4 linked regions of the Medicago truncatula genome follow. The protein of the gene in region 4 interacts with the protein of the main gene of each other region in a pairwise test. Links are inferred from orthologs where the notes say so. Each region holds a gene or a part of one and is shown on either strand. Other genes may lie near its edges.

Region 1 (6,266 bases), on a different chromosome or scaffold from region 4:
CATTATTGATGAAAGCATGCAATTCCTACCTACATTCATGAGGCAATATATGTTCTTACCTATCAAAACGGTGGAAAATACTGAGTGTGTTTGTATACATTCAATTTGACAAAATTATGTTGGCACCATGATTTTGGTAAAACGTCAAAGTGTAGATTTTGCCAAAATAATTGTGGCACGCCGTGCCCTGTAAAATTCACTGTCAATCCAAATATGCACCGTGTCCTTTGGTGTTTTAAAGTTCCACTCACATCTATTTTATTAGTGTAAGCTAGTGTCTATGTTTCCAGCTTTCTATATGATCAACAACAACGTTCCTTCAAAAACTGAGTTCAGGAAAGTCAAAATTGAAGGCAGCAAGCCTAGCTAAGGTTAAACACTATCATCAATGTCAGAAAAACCGTTGAGAGATGTTTGGTTTTGACTACATATGTGAGATATTTCTATCAGATATATTTTGATTTATTTTAAACACAAAACTGATTGAAATGAAGTATTGGTCTCTCAATCTCAACACTAAATTTGTTTTGAACTCAGTTCGTTAACTCAGACTTTTTAAGCATGGACGAAATCATGTTGGCTCAGTTAAATCATGCCGCTCCAAATATGTAAATTCATGAATGCAAATGATATGTTAAAACAATAATTTCTGTAGGCATAAACTTTATACAAATAATTGTAGTAACTCAAAAATTCTAGGCATGATGATATTATAACCTTAATCATCACAAGTCATTTTCATTATAGAACATCAGTGTATGTATATCCGTGAGAATTTTCATCACAAACTCTGCAGAGAAATGAAGACTCTGAAGAAGTGCACCACCAATTTGTGTGCTGCTTACAATATGGTTTGTTACAGAAATTGCACTTGGGAAGCTGTAACCAGCATTCAAGGCACAAGAAATCTCCGCATGCAACATCTTCAAGTTCTTCTGATCCAACACATCCACCACAGTTTTCACACCTTGGAATACAAAATATGCATCCCCTACATTGAGCTTGGCACAATTCCTTCCTATTGCAGTCCACTTTTGGGCAATCATATACCATTCTCACCTCAAAGCACTTGGGACATTTCTCCAAATCAATAATCCTCTGATTTTCGTTGTGCTTGAATGCTGAAACGCTGCCACGTTTATGATAGTAGATAGGCTGTTGTGTTAGCTCGTCTTCTAATGGGAGGTTTTTTCTGAGGTTTGAGGTAAGCACGTCAAGATGATCGTTTTGTAGGTTGTAAATGCCGTTTAAACTCAAGGTGGTTAAGCAGTTGGCTCTTTGGCAGAGTGTTTTCACAGCTGTTAGAACTCCTTCAGGGGTTATCCCAGTGCATGCTGGTATATGAAGCTACAAATCAAATTAAACCAGAAATCAGACTATGTTCGAAGAACCTAAAAAACTCAATTTTGTATTTTACATTGAATAATGAAAAAAAAATCAAAATTTTATAAAAACCAAAGGTGAACAATCCTCGACACAACGGTAAGGTCACTGCCTTGTGACACAGAGGTCCCCGATTCAAAGCCTAGAAATAGTCTATATGCTTGCGGTGGTAAATTTGCAAACACAGAGACTATTGATCCGTTGAATTGAATGAATTCCACATTCCTTCGCTCACTATCCTAACTGTTAAGCAGCTAAAACTGACATCATACGTTCACTTATATGAAGCAGAATTTGCTTATAATCAAAACCATTGAATCACAGCAGCAAAACAGAAATCTCTCTAAAAACATTACCTCTTCAATAAAGGGGTTTTGTTCAACAACCCTTTGTAGTCCATGGTCAGCAACGTGGATGCAGTTCATAAGAGCAAGTGTTTGAAGCCTACCATTTGCTTTGGATGTGATCTTCAATAGTGTGTCATCTGAGAGTCTTGAATTGAGAGGGGTTTCAACAATAATTTTAAGCCATAGCAATACATCATTGTTGACTGCATATCTCAGTGATGTGCAAACACGAGACATGGTTAAAACCTCGTACACTCGAAGGTAAGCTATCACCAGAAACATGGCTTCATGAGGAGGACCCTCTTGTTCTTCTTCCTCAACTGTGGTGCTCATTTCAGAAGAAGAAGCTTTGCAAGACTCTTCCATATTTGATTTGATTCACACGTTACTTTATAGTTTATAGTATAAATGCAAAACAAGCCAATCATATCATATGATATTAATACTAATATATTTATAAAAGAAGGAGGTAAGCTTGGATCTTGATCGAAGATGTTGCATCTGTATCTATGTGGCTGGGAAACTATTTTATCAACATTCTTTTGAAGATATTGTCATATTAATGTGACACGTTAATACGGCTACATATATATGGTTGAGGTTAATGCACGTATGAGAAGAAATGTTACACTTTTCCCTTCCTTTTCCCTCTCCAATAGGAATAAGACATAAATAAGCAGCCAATTTTGACTGTTTCCTTCTCACCCTTCCTCGACAATCTTTGCATTGGACTCAAAGTAAAGGTTATTTTTTTATAAAAATCATTCACTGCTCATTTTCAAAGAAAATCCTTGCTTTTTATGTGAAATTACATTTTCTTCCTAAGAGTCAATTACCTCAACAAATTTTTGCAGGTCTATGTGAACTAAAAAAATGTATAGTATATAGTAAAAATCTACCTTGCTCAACCAAATTGTTGAAATTGCTAGACCGTACACTTTCACCTAGGTTTGAACTTAAGATGTGAGTTTTATGTAGTGTTTATCACTTCGTTTACATACCATAACCAAAAATGAAGAAAGAAAACTCTATTATTTACAGTACAGATCAATAACAACTGTGAATTTAAAATCCGAGCCCCAATTATTAGCAGCAACAAGAAGTTTAATGGTTGTAGGCAAAGGCAGAGGAAAGGGAGTGATGGATATTCAATAGCACTCCAACTTTATAATTTTCTTTATGTAATCTTTCACAATGCTGTAAAGCAACAATTTGTGTACCAATAATGCAACTATCAACAAGCATTTTTAGACTTTTTTTTATTTATAAAATTTATCTTCTGAGCTGAAGTGAAGAATACCATGTTGCTTGTTACAACAAATTGCATCAATGTGCATAAAATATAAGCTCAAACATTTGGAAATTATGAATGGTCTAATGGTTCAACAGTTGTCTTGAAGAGAAGGATGTGAACTTTGTCAATGGAAAAATACAAGAAACCACCAACAGAATGAGTGACATAAGAACCAAAGCTAGTACCTACAATGCAATGCCAAGCTGGACCATAGGTAGAGTCAAATTCCTGTAATAACAAAATATTCCCAAAGTTAGCAGGTAATAAAATAATACCAAACAGAGTTATAATTCATTTGTTAAAATATTGTAAGCTTGGTAAAGAAACAAGATAAAGTTACACCTGACAAAATAACACTCAGGATATCACATTATTAGAAAATTCAAGATTACAACTTTAATATCATTTATCAATGCCTGAAACCTCCATCAATGAAATGAGGGACCATCCAATCTAACATTTTTATGTCACAAATAACTTCCACACCAAGCCAACTAAGTTCATTAATAAATACAACCAACAAAACTATTGCCATACTTTCCTGGTTTTGGCCATACAAAAGAGGCACATCACATGCACAAGTCCAAAATTCACATGCACAAGTCCAAAATATGCAATCTTTGATAATGTACTTACATCAATTCACATAAAAAAGATAGTGCTAGGATGGAAACTTTTGGCAGTAGTGAACTTAGATTTGTATTGATTGTGTACCAGAAATTGTAACATTTCGTAGTTTTGAATGAGCACAAGTTTGAGTGATGAAACTACGAAATATTTTTGCATTTTAAAGCTCAGAAATGTTGAAGCAATAATTTTGGTCGTCAATATGAACATGAACTAATTAAAATACAAGGTATGTATTATGAAACTGAAAAAATGAAATGATTTTCCTTAAGAGTTCAAGTAATTACAAAGCTATATATAGCTAATTGCAAGAATACCATAACATACTATGGTTCTGCTGTAGCTTATTGAGCAAGAAACTAAGCTACAGCTTATTACTTGGAGCTCAAGTTATCTGCATTTGTAGTGTCATGTAATAGCCCCCCACAAGTTAGAGGTTGGTACAAATCAAGCAACCCTAACTTGGATAAAAGAGTGCTGACTGCTGAATGGCTGAGGAAGCAATGACTTGGTGAAAAAAATCAGCAAGTTGGTTTTGAGAGGAAACAGGTAAAAGCTTCATGATTCCAGCTTGAAGTTTCTCTCTAACCAGATGACAGTCAATCTCCAAATGCTTTGTTCGTTCATGAAAAACTGGATTAGCAGCTATATGAAGGGCACTCTGATTATCACAGAACAAAACTGGAAGTTTGGAGCTTTGAATGTTGAGATCTTTGAGTAAGTAGAGTATCCATTGCAGTTCACAAGTTGCTGAAGCTAAAGCTCTATACTCAGCTTCAGAGGAAGATCTAGACACAGTGGTTTGTTTCTTTGTTCTCCATGAAATCAGAGAGTTGCCTATGAAGAAACACTGACCAGAAATAGAACGCCTGCTATCTACACATCCAGCCCAATCTACATCAGAAAATCCTTGTAGATGAAGAGAAGAGTTTCTGGGGAAAAACAAGCCTTTGCCTGGACAACATTTGAGATATTTGAGCACTCTTAAAGCAGCATTGTGATGTGTCTGGGTTGGTTTAGAAAGAAACTGGCTCAACTGTTGAGTGATGAAAGTGATGTCTGGTCTGGTGGAATTGAGGTAAAGGAGTCTGCCAATCAATCTTCTATAGGAAGGAATATCTTCATATGGTGGAGATGAATCATTATGAAGTTTGAGAGAAGCATCTGAAGAAGTAGAGACAGGTTTGGAGTTGATAGTGCCTGAATCAGATAACAAGTCTAAGCAATATTTTCTTTGACATAAAGAGATGCCTTGCTTAGAATGAGCAACTTCAAGACCTAGAAAATACTTCAATTGTCCCAAATCTTTGATCTTGAAAGAAGAATGCAGAATGGATTTGATGTGTTGAAACTCAGATAATGAATTGCCAGCCAAGATTATGTCATCCACATAAACCAGAAGAATAGTAAATGAGGAATCAGTATGCTTAGTAAACATAAAGTGGTCTGCAGATGCCTGAATGTAGTTTTGTTGAATGAGAATGGAAGTTAACTTCTCATACCATTTTCTACTTGCTTGTTTGAAACCATACAAAGATTTAAGCAGTTTGCAGACTTGATTGGTGCAGTTTTATTTCTAGTGGACTTTCTTGGTGATGAAGGAATGTCAGGAGACTGATGAACAGGTGAAGGAGGAGGTGAATTTGTAGTGTCAGGTGAATTGATAGGTGAATTTGTAGTGTCAGGTGAAGTGATAGGTGAAGATGATGATGAGTAGAGCTCATCATCAATAATAGGTATAGGTGGGGGAGTATCAACAGACTTAGTAACAACAGCTTGAATAGGTGAAAAATACTCCCATTGAGAAGTGATAGACTCACTATTGCTTGGATAAGGTAAAAAATATTCATGAAAAACAACATGTCTAGAAACAAATATTTCTCTGGAATGAATGTCAAGTAGAATGAAACCTTTGTAACCTGACTTGTAGCCTAAGAAAACAGTTTTCCTGGCTCTGGTTGAAGCTTGGTTCTATGTGATTGAAGTGAAGAAGCATGACAAAGACAACCAAACACTTTGAAAGTATCAATATCAGGAAATTTATGATGAAGAGCATAGTAGGGAGACTGACCCTAAAGTAAAGGAGTAGGTATTCTGTTTATAAGAAAAACTGCATGCAAGAGGGCATATGACCAATAAGATGCAGGGAGTTTGGATTGATACAAAAGAGCTCTCCCAACATTCAAGATATGATGATGTTTTCTTTCAACTCTACCATTCTGTTGAGGGGTTTCAACACAAGATTTTTGATGTAAAATGCCAAGTGATTCATAAAAAGATAAAATAAGAAATTCAGGGCCATTATCAGATCTAATGCATTTAGGAGTGACATGAAATTGAGTTTGAACCATTTTGATGAAAGATTTGACATGATGGGAGACCCCAGATTTAGTTTTGAGTGAGATAATCCATAAGAATCTACTGTGATCATCAACAATGGTGAGAAAATATTTGTGACCATGAATAGAAGATATAGAAAGAGGACCCCAAATGTCAAGATGCAAAAGTTCAAAATTAGAAGTAGCATGAGAAGTACTAATGGAAAAGGGTAAATGTTTTTGTTTAGCAAAATGACAAATGTCACAAACAGAATTTTTATTATCAGAAACAATATT
Region 2 (7,499 bases), about 250 kb from region 4:
CGTCACAATCATTGATATTGTAGCAAAATGCAGCTGATGCAGCCGAAATTGGGGATGCAATGTGGCAGCATATGTTTGATTATAGATAATACTTACGGATGGAGGAAATTCTGAAACATCCAATCACGTAGAACGGAAACAGATCTTTCTGGCAAGCCCCTTTGGGGCCTCCATAACTGATCTTTCCTTTTCAACTGTTGAAGAGCCCATTGCTTTTGAATGAATGAAGTTTCAACAGATAATTCCTTATCCTCTTCTGACCATGAACTGTTAAAATTTGATCCCATGGAAAGAATATGTTTGCTAATCCTCTCTCTCAAGTCCTTATATAGTCGAGAAACCGTTTTGACAGCAAAGTGCGCGTGTATTTGTGGATCGAGCTCAGTAGCAGCATGAAATGCAGATACGACAGTGTGAATCTCATCCAAACATTGACTATATTGACTGTCCACCTGAGTAAAATAAAGACTACTATCAGCATTCTCGAACAAAACTTTCATATAGAGAAATAATTTTTGATAATCAAAATTTCTTTTGACCCTTGTGTGTAACTTTGGAATGTAGGTATTTTGATGTTCAAATAACAACTGTTCATAGAGTACCATTCAACATCACACAATTTGCTTTTCAAAGTTTTGTCCTGAACTAGTATAACAACTTTTAACCATCGATAAATTTTATTTGGAAAAGTGAACAATTTTGCATCTAGGTTTGCTTCTACAATTACAAAAATTAATTTTGATTTTCTGCCTAAGAGGGTGTTGCATGTAATTTGATTTTATGTTTCGATAGATTCTCATGTAAAAGTTGATTGAGCAATAAATTCAAGGCTAAAAATCAATTGTAGAGGCAAAAGCTCAAAATTCTAGCTCTAAGTACCAACTCTACTAGAAAACATCCAAAGATGTCAAAATCCGTTCTACACATCAGAAATCAATTTTTTCCATGTTCAAGAGTGAAACCAGCAGACATATACTAACGCAATCAGGACCATAAACGGTTTTACGAAAACCAAATGAATGTAATGTAATCTAAGTGGTTAGCAATGTACCATCTGTAGAAGCATCAAGAGTTGAGATTGCTTTGATTCAACAGCATGCCTTTGCAATGAAGAATCAGCATAAGCTTCTGACATAGGACTCTCGTCGCGATTTATTCCTATCCTTCGCTTGGTTGTGTTTGACGAAGTTGATTTATTTCCTCGGCCTCTAACACCAGAACCGGAATAGTTTATCTCATCAAGATTTTCAAATGAAAATGTTGCAATTTGAACAAGTATTTCCTGAATTACAGCAAGGTATCTTGATCCTAATATTGCGGGCGAAAACTTGACATGTTTATCATTCCCTAAACTCATAGAAAGTTCCATACTACTACATGAGGCTTGTTCCAAACCTGATCTTGTTCCATTCATGCTATGAGTTAAGTCAGAACAACTAATCTCTGAGCATTGAACTGAAGTTGGAGATGTTGCAAGACTTAGTGAAAGCTCATTGCTACAATTCGAGGAACTATAAGCGAGATTCGTTAAGTTAGCAACATTTGATGATTGCCATCCATTTGGATCAATGTTCCCTATCGGCGAATATGACATGAATTCGGTTCCAACATTACTCTCTTGAGCTTTCAAAAACTTGTTAACATAGCTATTATTATCACCAAAAGTTGCACACAAAGGGTTTGAGTTTGAAGTATCATGCCAATTATTGAATATGTATGGAACTATTGCTTCTAAATTTTCTTGAAGACCGATTCTAGCCGGAACCGAAAAGTCATTGTTATTAACAATGAGATTTGAGGGATTTTCCACAATAGTCCTTCCTTGTTGTGATGTAACAAATGAATTATCAGCTATGGTAACTTGATTCATGAAACTACCATCAACATGTTGATCTTGTTCTCCACCAGAAAGTATTGGAATTCCATTTATGATGTTGTTTTGGTTGTTAAGGTCAAATGAATAGTAATGAATGAGTGGCTTTTGTGTTAGATGTTGTGTGATATCTTCCATGTTCATTTGAGCAGTGTACACATCATTCTCCATTTAGAAAACAATTAGAAAATGCTACAAAGAAGAAAATAAAATAGACTTAGAAAAATGATTTTTGACTACTTACTTATTTGATAACAAGAACAATTTTAAGATAAGGCTACAGTTAAAAAAAAATGTTTGTAAGCAAAAACAAATGAACCAACCTTGTCTTAATAAGCATAGGAACCTTACATAAATCAAACAGAGCCACCATATGAAACTTTACATATATCTGTCAAAATCTTCAAAAATTCAAACATTTTTGACAACTTCTTTGCAGGATTTGTAGTTGCCTTGTCCTATGAGAACCTAGAAAACAACAAAGAAACATGAAAAACAAAAAGATAAGCAATGTGATTAGAGTATCATTAAATTTGGTCTTAAAAGTTTAACAATGTAAAGAACAAAACCAGAAATATGCTGAAAAGGGTGAATATCAAAAGCATGCATTGGTCCAATATGCATGAACATTAACAATATTTTTAATTCAAGTATCCCAAACTCCAAAAGCACATTTTTTAATTTTCACAGATCCCATCAAGATTTATTGCATAGTGCATACCATTCATTTCTCTAATCCAATACACACAAAAAAGCTCAAAAAACTTTACATTATACCATATAAAAAAAAATCACCTCAAGAATAACAAAAGCATTGAAGAGTGCAAACTGCAAACTATAGTGTAGAAAAAATGTAAAAAAAAACCTAGAGAGAGAGAGAGAGGGGGGGGGGGCTAGTTTATGCACCTATGTATGTAAATGCAAAGATAGAGATGAATGAGATAGAAGAAGGTAGAAAAACCACAAAGAAATAAAACAAGGAAAGAGAGAGAGAGGCATTGATACAGTGTATAGTGTTTGGTGCAGTGCCACTCATTTCTGTTTCAGGCTTTAGAGGGCCCATCTTTTCACTCTCTCTCTGATCATTTATCTGAATCACTGCTATATTTCACTCTCTCTCTGTTCATAGCATAGCAGGTGCATACAGAAAGAAACATTTTAGCTTTTTTAGCAAAATTTAAAACAAGTTGGTAACTTGAGTAGAAACAAGAGTTACATGATACTGTGATAAGGTAAAGAAAATGTTGCAAATAAAGTGCAAAAACAAAACATTAGGCAAATGTATGGCGTGTGATGTGAAGATTTTGACACTGTTATGTTGTGTTGTGTCATCATGGCCTATAGTAACGTATAGGGTTCTATGTAATGAAATATTGAAGTATAGGTGTGTACTTTTTTTGTTGCTTTTGGGGGGTAGTAATAGTAAGAAGAGGGTGATTAAAGTGTGTGATGTAAGGGATATATAAAATGACGCAATTTTATATATGAATGGTCATCTCATCATCTCCATAGTTCTGCAATTTTAATGCAGCAAATCATGTGTTCAGTATTTATTCGGCGGGAGGGAACAATGCACTTTCATTTCATATCAACACATACTACTTCAGAGTTTCATATTTTTATTACTCAAAAAAAAGTTTCATGTTTTATTTAACAAATGTCATAAGATTTTTAAATTTAATGTTTGTATAGGTTAATCATTTTAGTTTTCCTAATTTCAAATTAGTTATTTATGATCATAAAAATATGTACATAATGTTTTAAGTCATAAAACATATGCATCGTTAACCTATTTCTATCAAATTCATTTTAAAAATATTTATATGAATGTTTGTTGCTATGTTGATAGATCCAAAGTTACCTCTCTCAAAACTAAAGTTATTCGATCTTAGTTTAAAATAAAATTAATCAATTATTTGATTTATAATTTTGTTAATGAAATATTTATCAATAAAATTAAGATTGAATTGGGAAACCCTAACCCTTTTTTTTTTTTTGTCAAAGGAAACCCTAATTTTTTAAGATATAAATCACAATACTTATTATTATTAAAAACGGGCGTCGTAACGTGCTGCATGCTGGTTTCAACAAAATATAAAAACGGGTAGTTACATTTTTTTTACTAAAATGGGTAGTTTTTATTATTAAAAAATAATAAAACTAAATTAATAGGGTTAAAATTGAAAGAGATTAATAAAAGCTATAAGCTTAAAAACTACCTAAAATATAATCTCACAAAAAGTTATAAGCTCATGAGAAAAACTTATTACCAAATACGTTATGTTTTGATCCAACAAACTCAAAACTAATCCAATAAGCTATAAATGTAAGCGGTTTGGACAAAACCGACGAAACCAAAAGTTTAAATCAGACCAAATCGAAAAAGTATTCGACATTGTCTGGTTCGGTTCAAAACCGAACCGGACTAATCTAAACATATCTTGTTTGGTTCGATTCTCATTTTTTCATTTTGAGATCCAAGAAACTGATAAACCAAACCGATGTTAACTCCACTTCCCATTTTACTAATATTATTCCTCACACACACACACACACACACACACAAACATAATTAGACCCAAAATTAAAAGTCCAACATAAAATACTCCTTGATCAATTCACTTTCTCCCATCTTCACTTTATTAATGACATTATCAAGTCCTCCTTTTATTCGACAATGTCATAATCCATTCACTTATGATTTGGAATTTTTGTGAGTTGATGAATGATGTATGTGTGGATCATGGATGATTGAAATATTTGATTTTGATGAATGATGGATGAATGGATTTTGGATATATGAAATATTTATTTTGAAGTCGTGGATGCATGAAATATTGAGTAAGGTTAATTATAAATAGATGTTTGAAAAATAGAGAACATGAAAAAAACACAAAGTTCCGTAAAATATTTTAATATGATGTATGTTGTATGCATGAAATATAAGTTTGTGAGAATATGAAATTTTTTAATTGTATTTTCAAATAAACTGATCAACCGAACTGATCCAAACCGAATCAAACCGATTAGTTTGGTTCGGTTCCTTTTTAGAAAAGAGTACAAAGCGAACAAATAAAGATTTCATTGGTTTGGACATTTTTTTGATTGAAAACCGATCCAAATTGAACCATTACACTCCTTAAACAAGCTTCTCGTCCTTACCAAACACAACCTTAAAAGCAACCAAGGTGAGCTCATCGGCTTCAAACGTGATTTTAATTGATTGGAAAGTTGTTAACCACCCAGTTGCAAATGTTAATCTTGGCAGCAGCGAACAATAATAATTTTATGAGGTGGTTACAATAATAATAATCACAATAGCTATTACTCATATAAAATATATTTCAAAAGACACACTTAAAGTAATAAGAACAGATTATAAAAGGTTATAATTTACTAGTTAGTTATTTTTTAGCTATAAAAAAAAGTGATGCGTTAATAAAGGGTTTGTTTTGACAATAACAAAGTGCCGTTAAATCAGTTCAGGCCAATAGCGATAGGTTTTTGTTTTGGGAGGAAGACATTGATGTTGTTGCTGCGGTCATATTTTCATTGTCAATCAAAGAATGTAGAACTTTTCTGTGTTCATCCTCTGGTTCCTAGCTTAATATAAAAATATACTTATTCTTTCAATAATTTTCTTCTTCTTCTTTGGGTTAGCCATAGCTACCCCTTTAGTAAGAAAGCAATCGCCCCTGAATCTTGGTATGTTCATCCGCTTCATTTTGGAATCAAAACTACTATTTGTACCTTTTCCCTCTAGTAAAAATCAATTTTACACACTCTATTTGTCACTTACAATATTTAAATTAGTCGTTGATAATTTGATTCATTACAATTTCTTCAAAAATAAAATAAAATTGATTCATTACAACATAGATGCTAATTTACTCGTGTATGAAAATTTCTATTCTTGTATTAAGCTAAAAAAAAGTCTGAGAAAGCATATATCAACCTTATAAAAAAATAAAAAGAAGTATAAATAAATTTGTGTTATGATAATCACCCTTAAAGTGTGTATTAATATTTATAAACAACAAAATTAACTCATCTTTTAAGTTAATCTTTTACATTTAGATACAACTTCAGTAAAATTTTGACTATTATTTCTCCAAAACTCTTTCACACATGTGCATATCATGAACAATATTTGCATGAGACCTCACCACCACTGGTTTGATGAATTACAAACACAATTTGAAGGTATGAAAATATCAATGATTAATTTGTATTATATTTTTTTGTGAATGATGGAAGCCCTTTAAGAATAATGATTTACTTTCTACTTGTTGTTTTGTGTGACAATTTTCTATACCATTGTATTTCGTTAAAAATGAAATCTATACCACTGTTCATACAGTGGAAAAGAAGATTTTATAGATAAACAATAAATGAAACCACATGATTTAGTCAAAAAAAAAAAAATGAAACCACATGTGTATGTATAAACATTTCATCATAATTTTGGTTACAGAACAGGTTCACTCCTTTTTCAGAAAGATTGAGGGAAATTATTGTTTTCCCTCTAAAGCAAACGTTTTCGGGTGTTTTGGTCAAGTTAACTGGTTGGATGATAATGAAGTCATGCTATGTAGAACAAGACAAGGAAAAGTATGGGCCCTTTAAAACATTTTAGAAGACACAGGGCACTAACTCTGAACATGTTTCAAACCCTATGCTCATAAACGACAAAGCCGTTTCTGTTTTGTGGACCTTAGCCTAAGTTTTAGTTGTAACCTATAACCTGTTTGGAACATCAATTAATAATTGTTGGTAAGTCTTAATCAAGCTTACACAAAATCTCAAAATATTTCTAGGGGTGCTAAGAGAAAACTCTTTCACATTTTGTAATACGGTCTCTCTTATTGATTAAAATGCATTAGAGTCACGTTTAATTTGGTGAAGCTTACATGTATTATAACTGGTAAAAATGAGTATGTTAAAAAATGTGTTGTTAATTTTTTTTTACTCGCACACAATCTCAAAATGCGAAAGAGCTTCTTGATGATTATGAGTTTTTATCAGTAACTTTTTTTTCCTCAATGGATATTTATCTTTTGAAGCTATTTTTCACATTCCGACATCAATCTAAGGTGGCATTTAGATGCACACTTTTAAATGCTCGTTTGGTTCCACTTTTTTGAGATATCAAAATTGATATTAGAAGTGTTGAATTGATTTTAACTTTTTAAAATATTGTGGTAGAAATGATTTTGTATCTAAAATTTGAATCATATTAAAAACTAGCTGGTTTTCAAATTTTGACTTTAAATGATTTTTACCTTCATAGTAGCATCATTTACCTCTATTTAGTCTAATTGCATGATGATCCTTTGCTTTTGTCGACTAAAATATACCCTTAGCCCCAAGTTATAAAACATACTTCTAACATTTTTTGTCTCTCTTTAATATAAGAACTTTCTCAAATTTTCACATGCAATAATTAGTTTAACAAAAATACCCTCATGTAATTTACAATTTAGAAACATAAATTCTTTTTCTTCTCTTATGATAACAATAATTAACGATAATTATATATAAAAAAATAACACACTTCTTACAAAAAAAAATTGTTACAAAAAATCTTTCTTAATACTCATAAATTTTGTAATTAGTCCATATATTA
Region 3 (7,732 bases), on a different chromosome or scaffold from region 4:
TTTAAAAGCCTTATTGGAAAATATTCTTACTGAAGCAATGTTTGATGTACACGCTACCTGTGGAAATATAAGATCATATTCTATTGTTTTTCTCATCTATATTTCCCTACCCTCCAAAACTGTTGCATATGGAAGTGGATTTTTTTTAAAGAAAAAGGTGGTTATCAATATGAATGTTGATTTTTGTTTTTATCTACAGATTCCAGACAAGACTGATATTGATAACATAAATGGGGTATTGGTTGATGAAGAGGCAGTTGGACAAGTCAATGGTACTGGCTGTGGAGCAAAAATCATATGCAGAGATGATGGCGCATTGGAGTGTCAAGCAAGAACAATGTGTTTGTAAATAGTCAAGAGAGTATTGCAATTCCTTCTTTTTCTTCTTTATCAGCTTTTCCTTTCTTCTTTAATTTTTTCCTTGTTCGTTTTTGCATACTAAACCCTGTCCCCCCAAAATGCGTGTAATATAGGAGATGTTTATTTTTTTGGGGGTGCTGTATTAGAATCAAACTGTTATGTATGTACACGCAATAAGCATTGTATAATCGATGCTCATTTTCATATCATTATAGGCTCCCTGTTTTAGTCTTATTTCATTTCTTGGTTGAATTCAAAACAAGATGGTATGACTTAGACATTTTGTGTGTGCACCAAGTTAATTTTTTATTACTACCTACAACCAAGATTTTAAGCCCATGGATGGATTCCTCTAGAATCCAGAAACATAAACCCTAAACCAGAGTTCCTGTCAGAGCTTATTTTCCGCGACCACCGTGCCAGAATGCGTCTCCTCCGTGCCGGAGCACCTATCTGCAGCCAATTGCTTAAGAAGGTTAAAAAATATCTATTTATTCTTCTCGCTCTGATTGAGTGTTTATCTTTCAAGTAACTTTAGTTTCAAATATCCTTCATTTGCTCGTCGTTATATGAGGTTGTTAGGAGAAAATGGGTTGCACCTGAAATAGTATATTTTAATATTTTTGTGTTTGTTGTGTAAAGAAATTCAAGTTTATAGCATTCTCAAGAGATGTGGCATTAGTTGATTTTATTGAATTTGGGTCCTCTTTACCTGTGTTTTTGTGCTCTGAGATCATACTATAAAGTAGAACCATCAAGTATTATATGATGTGAATGAGTTGTATTGGCCACTGGCTAGTATACCTACAAGACCCTTGAATGTTTCTTTTATAATTTTCATCATTTTGATACTTCTTAGTTGCAGCTGAAAAATATGCTTTGTTCAAGGGGAAAAGAGAACTTTGATCCTTGTGTCTTTAGATAATGTTTTTATGCGTTTTAGATGTAATTTCATGTTATTGCACACTGAACTCTGTTAAGCTTTTATGCCTCTTGCCTGCATAATTTGTATGATAAGCTTTATTTGGAGAATTCATATTTTGTAGCGAATGCCTCCCAACACAGAAGTGAGACTTAGATCCAAAGGTATTGATTGTGGAACAACTTGGCCTTTTGGTGTGATTCACATTTGGCAAAGGGAGCTCAACTCAGAAAAAGTGGTCATTGAATCAGATGCAATTATGCAAAAGTTGTTGTTCTGCATTCATGGATCCACTACTGATTTTTAAGAATATGGAATCTGTTCTAGCAAACACGGCAACCACTATGGGTTTCCATTAAGTTATTATTCTCCTCTACATCATGTTTTAATTGTGAAGATCTAGATAGATTCAGTTTCTTTAGCAGGTCCATGCGTATGCTTTATGTATTTTAGATAGCGTGATTTGTTAATGATACCAAGGGCTAGATGATTTTAGCACGAAATTGAAAACTTTTACAGTGCCCTTTTTTTTATCATGATATGCCAGACTTGTGCATTCAACTCGCATGGTAATGACGCCCTTTGGTGGATTTCTTCAATTGGCTATAATGTTCCTACTATAAATGTGTGAACTCATGATCCTGCACTTGCATGCTCCTTTGTCATTAAGTACATCAACAAATTGGTTAAATATTTTATTTGTTTAAGAGACCTGAAGCTAATGTTAAAGATCTCCAATGCTAGTTTACCATTTCAAGAACACGCTTAGCTTTTATTATTATTAAGAAAGTAGACCTCAAAATGTTTTTTTCTTTTATATCTGAAAAATTCTGAATGCTTGTTGAAGTGGGAGTTATATATTGTTGATATGTGATAACTGGTAACCTCCTACACCGACTATTGTCTTATAACTTTGGGGGTTACACAAACTTGCCTACAAACAATCTTTTTGCCCTAAATCCGACAATGAGTTTTACTGGTAAGACAATGTTGTTGTCATGATAAAGATATATAGTTTCTTCCTTCTATTTCTAAATCGGTTTGAAAAGCGTCTTTCGAAGAAATATTTGAAGCTTAGGTCTTGATTAAAAGCTGACCAAGTAACGGTACTCAGAACAAGTAGTATGTGTGCTTGCCATTGATTGTGTAAAAGTGGTAGGAACCACAACTCAAGAGTCGTTGAAATAAAAGAAAGCCAAATAGAGACAGTATCGAGGAAAGCCTATGAATCGGAAAAAATAGAGACATTTTCTAATATTTTACTTCTAGGTATTGAAATAAAGCGTCTTTAGAGGTGGACTTGCTGAAACTTTGCAAATCACGAATGAGTTGACGAAGTATATGGATTGACAAATGCGGGATTAAGTTATGAAATATAAGTCAATTGCATACATACTGTACTTTTTTTTTAATGAAATTTCTCCTTGGCCATAAATTGAACACGTATTGTTAAGATATTTGACTCTTCTTGTGATTATCTTGTTGATGACCAAAACTCAAAAAGTGAAACAAAATGCTTATATGTTTTTCTCTATGCATTGGATCATGACTTGAGTATGTTGATTGCATAAAACAGGTGTTGATCTGATTTCTTAATAATGATCAAATTGACAAGAATATGCAAACAACCATAATACGAAGTTTAAAAACTGGAATTTTTTATTTTTTCTTAGGGGAAAAACTGGAAATCTGTTAATCTATCTATAGATAAAAAATAAAAAAGAATACTCCTTTAACCCAATTTGATATTCGCGCACGAACATTTCCTATCAGTATACAGCCTGATCGGCAACACACTTTTCAAAATGAAAGAAATAATATACACAACTTAGTAGTAATTATGTTTCATTCGGATACTTATTGTAAATATTCTTTTTTTTTTTTTTGGGTACAATGGAGGGCGGAAACCCATAAAAAAAAATTACGAACCCATCAAGGGAAAATAAATGGCTAATTAGTTTTATCTTGTTGGGAAAATTAGAGACTAGTTTGACTTGAAGACTCGTAAAACATCAAGCTACAACCTACACACTATCTTTGTGTTCCACTTTATTTGAATTAAGCGTCGAATCTTTTACAATTGTCTTCTTCCATTCTTATTAGTCTTTTCCCTTTGATAAGAATATGAGTGACAATTAAATAGTCTACATTTAGCTCTACTGCATTAAAAATACAAAAACCAAAATATATCGAAAAATGTGATACATGACGTTAGAAAAGGGAAAAGTGTAGTTACAAGCTAATTGCACCAACTCTGAGAATGACGATAATTTGAGATGGGAGTGAAATCATCCTTACACTCATGATGGACACATCAATTTCTCGAGGCTATGCATATCTTGGAGGCAAAGAAGGCGTGTGTGGTTTTATTTACGGGTGTGCAAAAGAATTGGTTAACCTCAACTTTTATTTACAAGATGCCCACTTATGAATAAGAGAATGGATCTCCTCCCGCATGTTTCTCATCAGTTTTCGACGGTGTGAGAATCAACACCATTAAACATGTTATCTCTCCTAATTTTAACTTTTAAATTTCCATGCATTTAAACGGAGAAGGTGTTCATTGTGGTGTTACGGGAACACATGGTCTTCACGTTGTGGTTGTGGTGGTGAAGGTGGATTGCGCCTATTTTGTCGCGGGGGGTTGGTTCAAAGGTACCACCTTGTAACTTCATGGTATACTCGTGGATTGAAAGATTCTTATTTGGAAGGTTGTAACTTCTTAACTGCGATAGTCTCTACTTCTAGTAATAGTTTAGCACACTCTTTGTTGTTAGTCTGAGTCCTGAAGCACGTGGAGATTTTACCAGTTGGTGTCAATTAGGTGGTTTGTGGACTCTTGTTGCTCTCCATGGTGCTTTATGATTAATAGGTTTTATATTACATCAATTTGAACTTGCTTGATTTGTTCAATTGCTTCCTTAAAATCCAATCGCATTCTCTGGTTTAATTGATGTTTTTGTTTATGTATTCATGATTTATCCACTAGGTCGGCCTAATTTTGGTGTAGCAGTTATATTTCGATTCATTATCTTTTTCTAAGGGTTTCATAATTGGACATTAAAATCATTTCATACGATGAGAGTTGCTGGTGTACTGGGCACTGCCTACTATGCGCTATTCATGGTTCTACCATAGGAAATACATTATTTGAAGATTGTGATGACGCAAATTCATTTCGTGATTTTAACTCAACTCAAGCGGAATAAATTTATTCAACGGTCACCGCTAACCACTTTTGGTACCAAATATTTGGGGTTGCTTTTTCCAACGACGACTATTTTATATTGCGAGAAATTAAATTGAATCTAAAGTATTTTGTGAAGGATCACTTAGGTCTTCACTTAAAAAAAAAAAAAAATTAAGAGAAGAAGAGATAAAGAGAGAGAGGAAAAAAGCAGTAATAATAATAAATTTGGGTGTAAGCAAGCAAGTAGGGTTTATAAACGAAACGAAAGGAAACGAAAAGGGTTCGACAGTTGTTGAGAGTGAGTGAGTTTAGAGAAAGAGAAAGACGCATTTGGTTTGATCGATTCCGCCGCATCGATTTCTGATCGACTCTCGCACTAGGGTTCGTTTATATCTCTCTTCTTCAATTCTCCTTTTTAATAATTCAATACAATCGAATTTAAATCTTCGTTGATTCTGATTCTTGTTGATTATTTTTCATTTCAATTCAACTTTGTATTGTAATCCCTGACATTGGACTCGACTCACTCATCACAGTGTTGTTGTTTGCTGCTTCTGCAAATATGGCGAACTTAGCTTTGCCTGGTATTCTTGAAAAGGTACTTTTTCTCTCTTTTTCTTTTAACACTGTTTTTATGTGTTTGTGTTGTATTAATTAGGTTTATGATAACAAATAATCTTCAACTTTGTATGTATGTATTTGTGACAGATGACTGGGAAGGATAAAGATTACAGATATATGGCCACATCTGATTTGCTTAATGAATTGACCAAACCTACTTTTAGGGCTGATGCTGATCTCGAACTTAAATTGAAAAATATAATCATTCAACAGCTTGATGATGCTGCTGGTGATGTTTCTGGTCTTGCTGTTAAATGTCTTGCTCCATTAGTCAGGAAGATGAATGAGTCTAGGGTTGTTGAAATGACTAGTCAACTCTGTGACAAAATACTTAATGGCAAGGATCAGCATCGCGACACTGCTAGCATTGCTTTGAAGACTGTTGTTGCTGAAGTTTCTACCCAATCCCTTGCACAGTCCATTCTCTCCATTCTATCCCCACAATTGATCAAAGGAATTACTGCCAAAGTAACTAACTAACTACCTAACTCCCTTCTCGTTTATCTACTTTCCTTTCTTTTCTTTGTTTCACATGCTTAACACTGTTGTACCCTTCACAGGATATGACCACAGAGATTAAATGTGAATGTCTCGATATTTTATGCGACGTCCTTCATAAATTTGGGAATCTAATGGCAGCGGATCATGACCTATTGTTAAATTCCCTGCTTTCTCAGTTGAATTCTAACCAAGCTACAGTTCGTAAGAAGTCTGTTGCATGCCTTGGTAAGACATATTTTAATTTGCTGGCTTTTGTTTTTCTGTAAAATTTGTTCTTCATGAGTGGGGAGTTGATATTACTTTCCGCAGTTTGAGTTTTCTCAATTATTTTCCATACATCTTGGTTAAACACCCTATTGTAGTTTTTTTGTTGCGTCTGAGGCAACTTTGATTCAGTAACTGGAAGATAGATAGATTTGTGTTTCATGTTTCAATGAGCATCTGATTAACATTATTTTCAATGAGTTTGACTCTATTAATTGATTTTCCCAAATATGAGTTTGAAATGAAGAGATTGTGTTCAAATGCTTTTACACTTCATCGTAAAACTTGTGTTGATTCTTTAACCTAAAGCAACTAAAATGATGTTTGGTATCAACCCTGAAGTGGCCTCTTTTATTTTGGTCAAAAACATTATTGTCAATTAATGCAAAACTGTTAACATGTTTTTCTTCTTGTCAGCATCTCTTTCTTCAAGTTTGTCAGATGATTTGTTGGCAAAGGCAACAGTTGAAATTGTTACCAAATTGAAAAATAAGGCTGCCAAGTCTGATATGACTCGTACAAATATACAAATGATTGGCGCTATAAGGTTAGCAATTTCTTTCACATTATTTTCTCCCTCTTGCTTCAGTCTCTTTTTCATGTTGAAAATAGTGTTATCACTAGTAGATAGTGGAAGTGGTTCAAAACCAAAAAGCCACTGTGTCATATATAGCGGACACGGACAACATTACTGAACTATATAGGCAAACAGTGGAAGTCACATTATGGTTGAAATAAATCGGTGCCATTTATAAATGTTAATCTGTATACAAATAAAAATAAGCTGCATGATAAATATAAACTGTATTAAATGGTGACACAACATCACTAACATTATAACACCTCGTGGTATGGCGTTGCCTTCCCCCACAACCACTAGTAACAACACTGGTTGAAAATAGAACGTTTGTAGTAACAAATTTGAGCTAATTGGTGTTACAGTCGAGCAGTTGGCTACCGATTTGGACCCCATCTTGGAGATACAGTTCCAGTCCTTATTAACTATTGTACTACCGCCTCAGAAAATGATGAAGAGCTTCGTGAGTACAGTCTGCAGGTGCCATATTTGTTTATTATCCATAATTTTATACTATGAAATGTTTGTATTTATATTTATTTATGGTACACTACTAGTTATATATTCAATAATGTCGAAATTTTGCTGCAGGCGCTAGAAAGCTTTCTCCTAAGGTGTCCAAGGGACATTTCAGTGTATTGTGATGAAATTCTTCACCTGGCACTGACATATCTGAGTTATGACCCAAACTTTACTGACAACATGGAGGAGGATACAGATGATGAAGGTCATGAAGAGGAGGATGATGAGTATGTGTCTCTGTGCCTATTTGATTCAGTTGGTTGCCTGTATGGTATTTATATTTGCACAATATTCTTCTTGTTAATCATATCATATATCAAATATTATTTTCCAGAGAAAGTGCAAATGAATATACAGATGATGAAGATGCCAGCTGGAAAGTGCGCAGAGCAGCAGCTAAATGCTTAGCCGCATTGATTGTTTCTCGTCCTGAGATGCTTTCAAAGCTGTATGATGAGGTAACTTTGCTTTCACTTGTTCATAATTTTGTGTAATTTGTTAATAAACTACTGTTCTCTTTATTTTTCTGAGATTTTGCTATTCTTGCATCATGATATCCTTCTGGGCTGTGAGTAAACATTTGGTATACTAGATTTATTGTTTGATAATTTTTGTATCCACATGTTCTTCCAATAAAATTTCTTTTGTCTCAAAGAAACTGTGTAATTGTTTGTGTATATGGCTCTTCACTCCCTGTTATTATTTTTAGTTAAATGACGGCATATCCTTCGCCTTCCTGCTTTACAGGCTTGTCCAAAACTGATTGACAGATTTA
Region 4 (7,024 bases):
AGATAAATGATTAAAATAAAGGGTTATGCTAATAAGTGCCTTTAGACAATCCACAATAGTGATGTCTTCACTATTTAAGATCCGGTACCTAAGACTCGAGAATTAAGACTCTCATTCTTAAGTGGATCCCACGCTGCTTTTTATTAAAATAATCATTATATTGTTGGAATATAAATGATGAAGAGTTAGTGGTTGGATCAATTTAGACCTTTTGTCAGAGGGACTCCATTGGAGTGACTCAATACTTATTAAGTACGGTTATTAAAATAGTGATGTGTTCACGTGGAACCCGTTTAAGAACTCAAAATTGAGGATCCATTGTAGATGTTCTTAGGACACTTGTTAAAGAAACCAAAAGTAGTGACTATGTTTGTATTGGATTCATGTTAAGCAACTTAAAAAGAACAATTTTACATCGGAAAACACAATATGACAATTTTTAAGAAGTTGAATGCACACCTTTTAATATGTGTATTTTTATAATAAGTATCTTAACATGTGCCTTGAAGGCTCAAGTTAGCATTTACTTAAAAACAAAGGCACAATCGCACTAAAAACTCCTTTCTACAAAAAAAAAAAAAAAAAAAATGGCACTAAAAACTCCTAACACTACTAGTACTCCTATGTTGGGGTTGGATTGGAACGGCATCCAATGTGTTTTTTAAGAAAGAATGCAAAAGAAAAGAGAAAATTAAAAAGTGATTAAAACGGCATTAGCGGTAAGACGGCCGAAAAACTGACCAATGTAATGATGAGAAAGAGTAGTAATTCCACAAAACCCAATGAATCCTTCGAAACCGATAAACACGAGAGTTTTAGTCAGTAAAATACATTGATTAACATGGAAACCCTAGAAGAATAATTGTCAGTCAGAACTCAGGAGCTAGCTTGGGAAATAGAAGCCTAACATGGAGACGCCAACGTGTGGATTTGGGTTTTAGCAACAATAAAAAATGAAATAGTAAAAAATTCGTCTGGAGTCGTGAAGTATGAACAAATACAGCCTCTAGAAACATACCAGTAAATGTGATATTTTTTATAAAAAAAATAAAAATAAAAAAAAATATCATATTTAGAAAGTACTAGCGATTAGGGTTCTGTAGATGATGAAGAAATATCATCTTCAGTTATATGGGTCCCCTACCCTTCTGCTCCCACGATTTGAAAGCATGTGAGATTTTTGGTCAAAATTTCCAGGCTATGTTCAGAAACACTCGAGTTTACGAATTTCAAGAGCTTTCACAACCCGTCACTCACACATCAGTCACATTACTCTTAATAGTCAATAATCCAGAATTAATTAATGACCTCGTTTTAATTTCAGTGATATTAGTAATATAATAAAACAAAACTATTGAGAATGAATATTGAATTGAATATATTAAGAGAAAAGATAAAGTACTACTACTACTCACCAGGGAAGATCCGAAGGGGTCCATTGCAAAGTGTATTTAGCTGTGTTTCTATTCTTCTCATGAAATCCATAGCCTCTTGTATAGGCCTTGTTAATTCCTCTCTATACTTCACAAGCATATCATAATATGCTTCCTGTTAAACATAAACATAAACACCATTTCAACGTCCAAAACCACAATCTATAAGTTCTATAAATATAGATACAGTAATCAACTAGATTTTTGCCGACATAATTTAAACTTATTGATTATCAAGATAAAAACCCAACGAAAATAATTTTAATTCTAGAAAGAAAAAAAACATAAACTAAAACAAAAAATACCCCCTTGTACCATGAATTGGTCTAGTTCTGGATCTTTAGAAGTTTCTCTCGAGTTAACTGAAGATCTTTGCCGTGCTTCAAATTCTTGCCTAGACGCAACCAAACGAGCCACCACTTCCGGTGGAGCTCCAATCTACATATAATTTGTTTAATTAGAGAGAGATAGCAATTAATTAATATAAAAATTAAAAATATATATATAAAAAATGGGGTATGCTTATTTAAATTGTTATCATGATGGTGGGAGTCCAAATTTAATTCTTGACTGAAACAATCATTAATTATTGATTATAGTATTTTACTTATCTTGAAGGGAAGGGTTAAGAAAAATAAATTGTTATAATGATGAAAATGAATAAAAATAATAATTAATTAGTGACCTTTTGACAATCCATGTAAGCTTGTAAAAGACTAGAATATTGAGGATGAGCAATGATTTTGGCTTTTATAGCTTCAGCTTCAACATTAGAACTGCTTGGACTCCCTCCTCCTCCTTGATGATGATGGTTATGCATAATATTGGTGTGTGGAATAATATTTGTTCTCATTAAAGCTGGGTAATGAAAAATCGGAGTGTGAAGTTGTGAAGTACTATTTGCTTCAGTTTTCACAGCAGAGTGTTGTTGATGTTGTACTTGATCAGACTGAAAACAATTGTCTGATCCATGAAAGTTGTTCATTGGAATCTGATTATGTTGATGATTGTGTTGGTGTTGGTGTTGGTTGTTTCCACTAGCAATGGAGTATAAGAAATTTGGCCTTGAATTTGGATTTGGATTTGGATTATTAGTGTATTCCTCCATTTAACTCAAATTTAAGAAACCAAATATCATATATGTTTAACTCTCTCACTCAACTCAATTCTCAAAATATAGGGAAAATGAAAAAACCCTACTTTGTTGTTTTATAGAGTAATAAAAATTATGGAAAGGTCAAGAACTTAATTGAAACCCTAATGAAAACCATCTTTGAGATTGTTTATATAATGAATGAAATTTAGGGACAACACAAGTGTAATTTTGTGTGTGTTGGGGTGAAGGGGTCCAAGAAGTTTCAAAAGCCAAAAGTTTAAGAGGTTGAGAGATGAGTGAAGATGATTGGAGCTTATAGATTTTGGGCATTGACAGGGTGGAGCAAGTAGAAACCAGCAAAACTCTCACATGATGTGTTGTTGTACGAAGAAGAGAAAGATTAGAGAGAGAGGAGAGAGTGGTGGCTTTAGTCCAAACCGGCAATGTCTTGGAGATGGGGGTGGTTGACAAGACTTTGTTTGGTTGATAGAAATAAATATGAAGATATATTTAAATTAGAGAATGTTAATCATTGCCTTCGGAACATTGGATAAGGAAATAAAAATAAAAATATAACATTGGAAAATAGTAAAAAGTGATAAATTTAACTTTTTAAAAATTAAAATGTTGTTGAAACTAATGCAAAGCTTCTATAATTATTGCTTTGAGAGCAATGGTTAGCGCGACTCATTTAAATATTTTAAAAGCCAAATGCAGTGTAGTGTAGCTAGGTTTATATTTTTTTAATTTCTTTGCTTTATTTGCTAAAGTTAGTTTTCTTTGCTATTAATTCTCTGTAGTTTGTCTCCTAATTGATTTTCCTTTTCGGGGTTCTTGATCAATTGCTTCCTTAATTAGTGCCCGCAGGATAATGGTTAAGGAAATCAAAAAATAAAATTAAGTTGAAAATATCACTTTTTAAACTTTTAAGGAGTTGAATGCACAAATTTCAATAGGAGATTATTTACTTCCTTAACCATTACTTTGAGGGCACTTGTTAGCATTTCCTATTCTTTATTACATAGATTTTTTCTAGAATTGTTTATTACATAGTTCAAACGAAACTATTAAGTTGTGTCATGTGGGGTGCATATATATTGTTAAAATAATTATAATTTAATTTTAATATATGCATCTTGATTATACTTTCACACCTCTACTGTATTGTTATAAAAATATGATATTTGTATAATTATTTTATGATAATTTTTTTATAATGTACTTTCTTGTTTATACTATGATTTTATCATTTTGTTTAATTTTTTTTAATTGATTTAGATCAACAATAATAAGATTGTCATAAAGCTTGTCATCAAATCAAATAAGTAATAAAATATTGCTACTCAAAACTGTATGTAAACAAACTCTTTTGTCTCAAAACTGTATGTAATCAATTATTTTAGATATCAAGTCTTTTGTCTTGAAGAAACCTTTAAATATTAAAAAAATGTAACATTGTTCCCAAAAACATCATGAACAATAACTAAGACCCTCAATAAATTTATGTTTCACTACAACAGTGAATTGATAAGTGGTAGAAAGTAGTAAATTTATGTTATATATTAAGCACTTTTGATTACTTGTTTTACAAGTTATTCATGGAAATGCCAAGAATTTATGCACAAATGTCTATTTATGCTTTTTATACCTTACTTTATTCCATTGTGCAGGAAAATGATGAACAAGACAAGAATTCAACAAAGAAACTTGAAGATTTGCAAAGGTTAGCTCGCCATAGCGAGCACAGGGCGAGGACAAGGCGAGCTAAGTTAGAAAGTTTACAATTTCATAAGTCCAAGCCTTGCCACAGTGAGGAAGGAGCGAGCTAACTCGCCATGGCGAGCTAAAATCGAGCTTGCAGCGAGGAGTTCCAGAAAATCCAGTTTTCAGAAGTCTCAAGCAAGCCACAACGAGGCCATGGCGTACCAACTCGCCATGGGGAGCCAAGAAGTGAGTGGAAGTAGCAGTTCCAGAAACTCAGGAATTCAGGAAAACAAAACCTTCCCATAGCGAGCAATAGCCTTGCCATGGCGAGTCAAGGCGATTGCAGGGCACTTAATGACGTGACATAAACCCAATGGCGAAGAAAGCTCCACTCGCTACAATGTTCGATTACTCCATAACCTTCATACTAGATTATGAACGCCATGAATATATCATTTAACTTTAATATCTCGTGTGCCTCATGAATTCTCATCTAAGGATTTATACTTTATGAAGATGTCTAACCCTCATAAAATAATAAAATTCCATAAAAATAGAAAAGATTCCACTGCTATAGGTACAATATTATATACGAAGGAGATATAGATTTTAGGCTGAATTTTTTAAATTCCAATTATACCCATACACAAATTTTCCTATATCTTTTTTTTGAAGAAGCTAAAATGAAAATTATTTAAAACACAAAGAATCCTAGCAAGCACAGGGAATGCTAAGCTAGAAGACTTAAAGAGCAACATACAAAGGGAAAGTGTCTCTATATATGTGGAACACTCAAATAAACACTCATGTATCAAATATAAATTTTTACGAGCAAACCAAAAGAACACTCCGAACCGTTAAAAAACCTCTCCAAATAATCATCAAATCTACCAAAAACCCATGTAACCGCACTTTAAACAAACCACACTCCGTGTATTTGAAAACCAAGAAAACCTACAAAAAAACATAACCACCACAAAAACCAATAAACTTCACTGACCATGAAATTTATCTATACTATATATAAAGAAAATAGTGGGTTTCGGGGAGATTTTGGTCTGCTTTTTTTGCTATTCCAATTAAACTCTTAAATAAATTTTGATATAATAATATTATGTTGTTGGTGTTATTAAAAAGGATATAAAAAATGTTATATTTTTTATATTATTGTTGTCATTGAAAAATATAAATATGGTTTGTTGAGTTTGTTACATTTAAAAGTCACAAATATTTATCCTTATAATTTTTTATTTATATCAAAAAATTTATATAAAATATCTTTTGTAATTTAAACGCAAAATTTCAATAAAATATTGTTAATAAAATATCTAAATGACATATTATTTATCTTCAAATGTAGGTAAAATATCTAAAACATACTAATTATCATATGATGCCCTATCAACAAAATACACCCACGCAATGTGAGTCATACGCATCCTAAAAATCATCCCTGGAGAGAATCAACTCTTTCTCCAGTCTTTTTTTATATCATCCACAACTTTACTCACAATAAAAATATCATCAAGAACTTAACAGTCTTTCACAAAAATAAATTGAGTATATAAAATGATCTTCCCAATAACCAACTTCAATTTGTTCACTAAAACCTTTACCAATACTTGATACATACACCCGACTAGAGAAATGAGAGGAAAATTATACAAACTTTGCTAATATATAAGCCATCAACATCCATAAACAATAAACATATATAAATATACTGAATTTATCTAAACCAACCCCTATGTTGTTCTGGCTATCGAAAATTTAGAATCATAAGAGGAAAGAATGAAAGGAATTACTAACTAAATAGTTGAATAAAAGTTCTCGATGAGTTACTGCTAATGAGTTCACTAAATAATGAATATTTTTTTTTGGTAAGAAATAATGAATAATTTAAAAGAACTTGAGTTTGATTACTTTTTTCGCGATTTAAATTTAGATTATCAATGTCCCGTTCTCCTAAGAATCGAAGGTTAACATAATTTTTTTTGAATCACTATCTAAATTTGATCATCTCTAACTGAAAAAAAAAAAAAACTTACTTATGCATTGATCGCATTCCAAAATCCAAATATTATAAATTATAATAAAAGAGTGAGTATTTGTGCCAGTGTTATATAGAATGCTTTTTCCACCGATCGTTTAGCATTATGTGGAAGGTATGGAAATGTACAAGTGAATTAGAATGATATATTTGACGTAGTAATTCATTATATTTAATCAGTACTATTGTATTTACTCGACGTTTGCTCGGGTTAGACATATTCAAGATGATAAAAAAATTATATCTATGATGTCCGCAAATAAAATTTATCATGGATTGGTATAGGATGAATATCTTAATAAATACACACAAATATAATAAAATATATCATATTATAAATACTCGTAAATTTATAGATACACATACATATAAAATTAATTGAATTTAGTAAAAATATTAACACATATAGAATAAAATTAACTTTTAGGAATTTGTGTTATTTCTATTACGTAAAATATTAGGAATTCAATGAAAAATTTAAGTAAAATATTTAATAGATAAGATCAAAAGTTTGTTGAAATATTCAAATATTAGTTTTAAAAAATAGAAAATAATAAAAATATTACGAATAAACATGAAACTGACATGTGGCATAAAAACCTTACTTTATATATATATATACAGACATATACTATTGATTGATTGATTTTTTTTTATTTTTTTTTTTTAATCAGCAAAATTTTATTAAAAACCAAGTTTCTGCACAAGACGAAGAGAGACCGGTGTTATAGAAAGTACAAA

The links.
Region 1: the proteins of homeotic protein knotted-1 (region 4) and F-box protein SKIP28 interact in binary tests that used the Arabidopsis thaliana proteins (3 or more experiments, as listed by UniProt). The link is inferred for Medicago truncatula from reciprocal best matches to the Arabidopsis thaliana genes KNAT1 and MEE11.
Region 2: the proteins of homeotic protein knotted-1 (region 4) and homeobox protein ATH1 interact in binary tests that used the Arabidopsis thaliana proteins (3 or more experiments, as listed by UniProt). The link is inferred for Medicago truncatula from reciprocal best matches to the Arabidopsis thaliana genes KNAT1 and ATH1.
Region 3: the proteins of homeotic protein knotted-1 (region 4) and cullin-associated NEDD8-dissociated protein 1 interact in binary tests that used the Arabidopsis thaliana proteins (3 or more experiments, as listed by UniProt). The link is inferred for Medicago truncatula from reciprocal best matches to the Arabidopsis thaliana genes KNAT1 and CAND1.

The regions. Positions count from the first base shown.
Region 1 is NC_053049.1:48,362,323-48,368,588, reverse strand, and holds F-box protein SKIP28, read right to left. Parts: upstream 2,289-6,266; 5' UTR 2,097-2,288; coding exon 1,740-2,096; intron 1,348-1,739; coding exon 742-1,347; 3' UTR 653-741; intron 622-652; 3' UTR 522-621; downstream 1-521. Other genes in the region: dynein light chain LC6, flagellar outer arm, read right to left, coding at 3,094-3,252. UniProt on the Arabidopsis thaliana protein: Component of SCF(ASK-cullin-F-box) E3 ubiquitin ligase complexes, which may mediate the ubiquitination and subsequent proteasomal degradation of target proteins. Required during the endosperm development in embryos.
Region 2 is NC_053042.1:4,466,253-4,473,751, reverse strand, and holds the start of homeobox protein ATH1, read right to left. Parts: upstream 3,017-7,499; 5' UTR 2,879-3,016; exon of another isoform or gene 2,669-2,878; intron 2,342-2,668; 5' UTR 2,225-2,341; exon of another isoform or gene 2,197-2,224; intron 2,066-2,196; 5' UTR 2,045-2,065; coding exon 1,052-2,044; intron 453-1,051; coding exon 97-452; intron 1-96. UniProt on the Arabidopsis thaliana protein: Transcription factor which may be involved in the signal transduction pathway downstream of the COP1 gene. Controls floral competency as a specific activator of FLC expression. Is responsive of the nuclear import of SHOOT MERISTEMLESS (STM).
Region 3 is NC_053045.1:64,570,789-64,578,520, forward strand, and holds the start of cullin-associated NEDD8-dissociated protein 1, read left to right. Parts: upstream 1-4,713; 5' UTR 4,714-4,853; intron 4,854-5,008; 5' UTR 5,009-5,034; coding exon 5,035-5,070; intron 5,071-5,180; coding exon 5,181-5,561; intron 5,562-5,653; coding exon 5,654-5,819; intron 5,820-6,275; coding exon 6,276-6,405; intron 6,406-6,800; coding exon 6,801-6,915; intron 6,916-7,026; coding exon 7,027-7,184; intron 7,185-7,291; coding exon 7,292-7,415; intron 7,416-7,704; coding exon 7,705-7,732. Other genes in the region: ATP-dependent Clp protease ATP-binding subunit ClpX, read left to right, coding at 200-349. UniProt on the Arabidopsis thaliana protein: Key assembly factor of SCF (SKP1-CUL1-F-box protein) E3 ubiquitin ligase complexes that promotes the exchange of the substrate-recognition F-box subunit in SCF complexes, thereby playing a key role in the cellular repertoire of SCF complexes.
Region 4 is NC_053042.1:4,713,751-4,720,774, reverse strand, and holds the start of homeotic protein knotted-1, read right to left. Parts: upstream 3,009-7,024; 5' UTR 2,542-3,008; coding exon 2,119-2,541; intron 1,872-2,118; coding exon 1,749-1,871; intron 1,549-1,748; coding exon 1,416-1,548; intron 1-1,415. UniProt on the Arabidopsis thaliana protein: May play a role in meristem function, and may be involved in maintaining cells in an undifferentiated, meristematic state, and its expression disappears at the same time the shoot apex undergoes the transition from vegetative to reproductive development.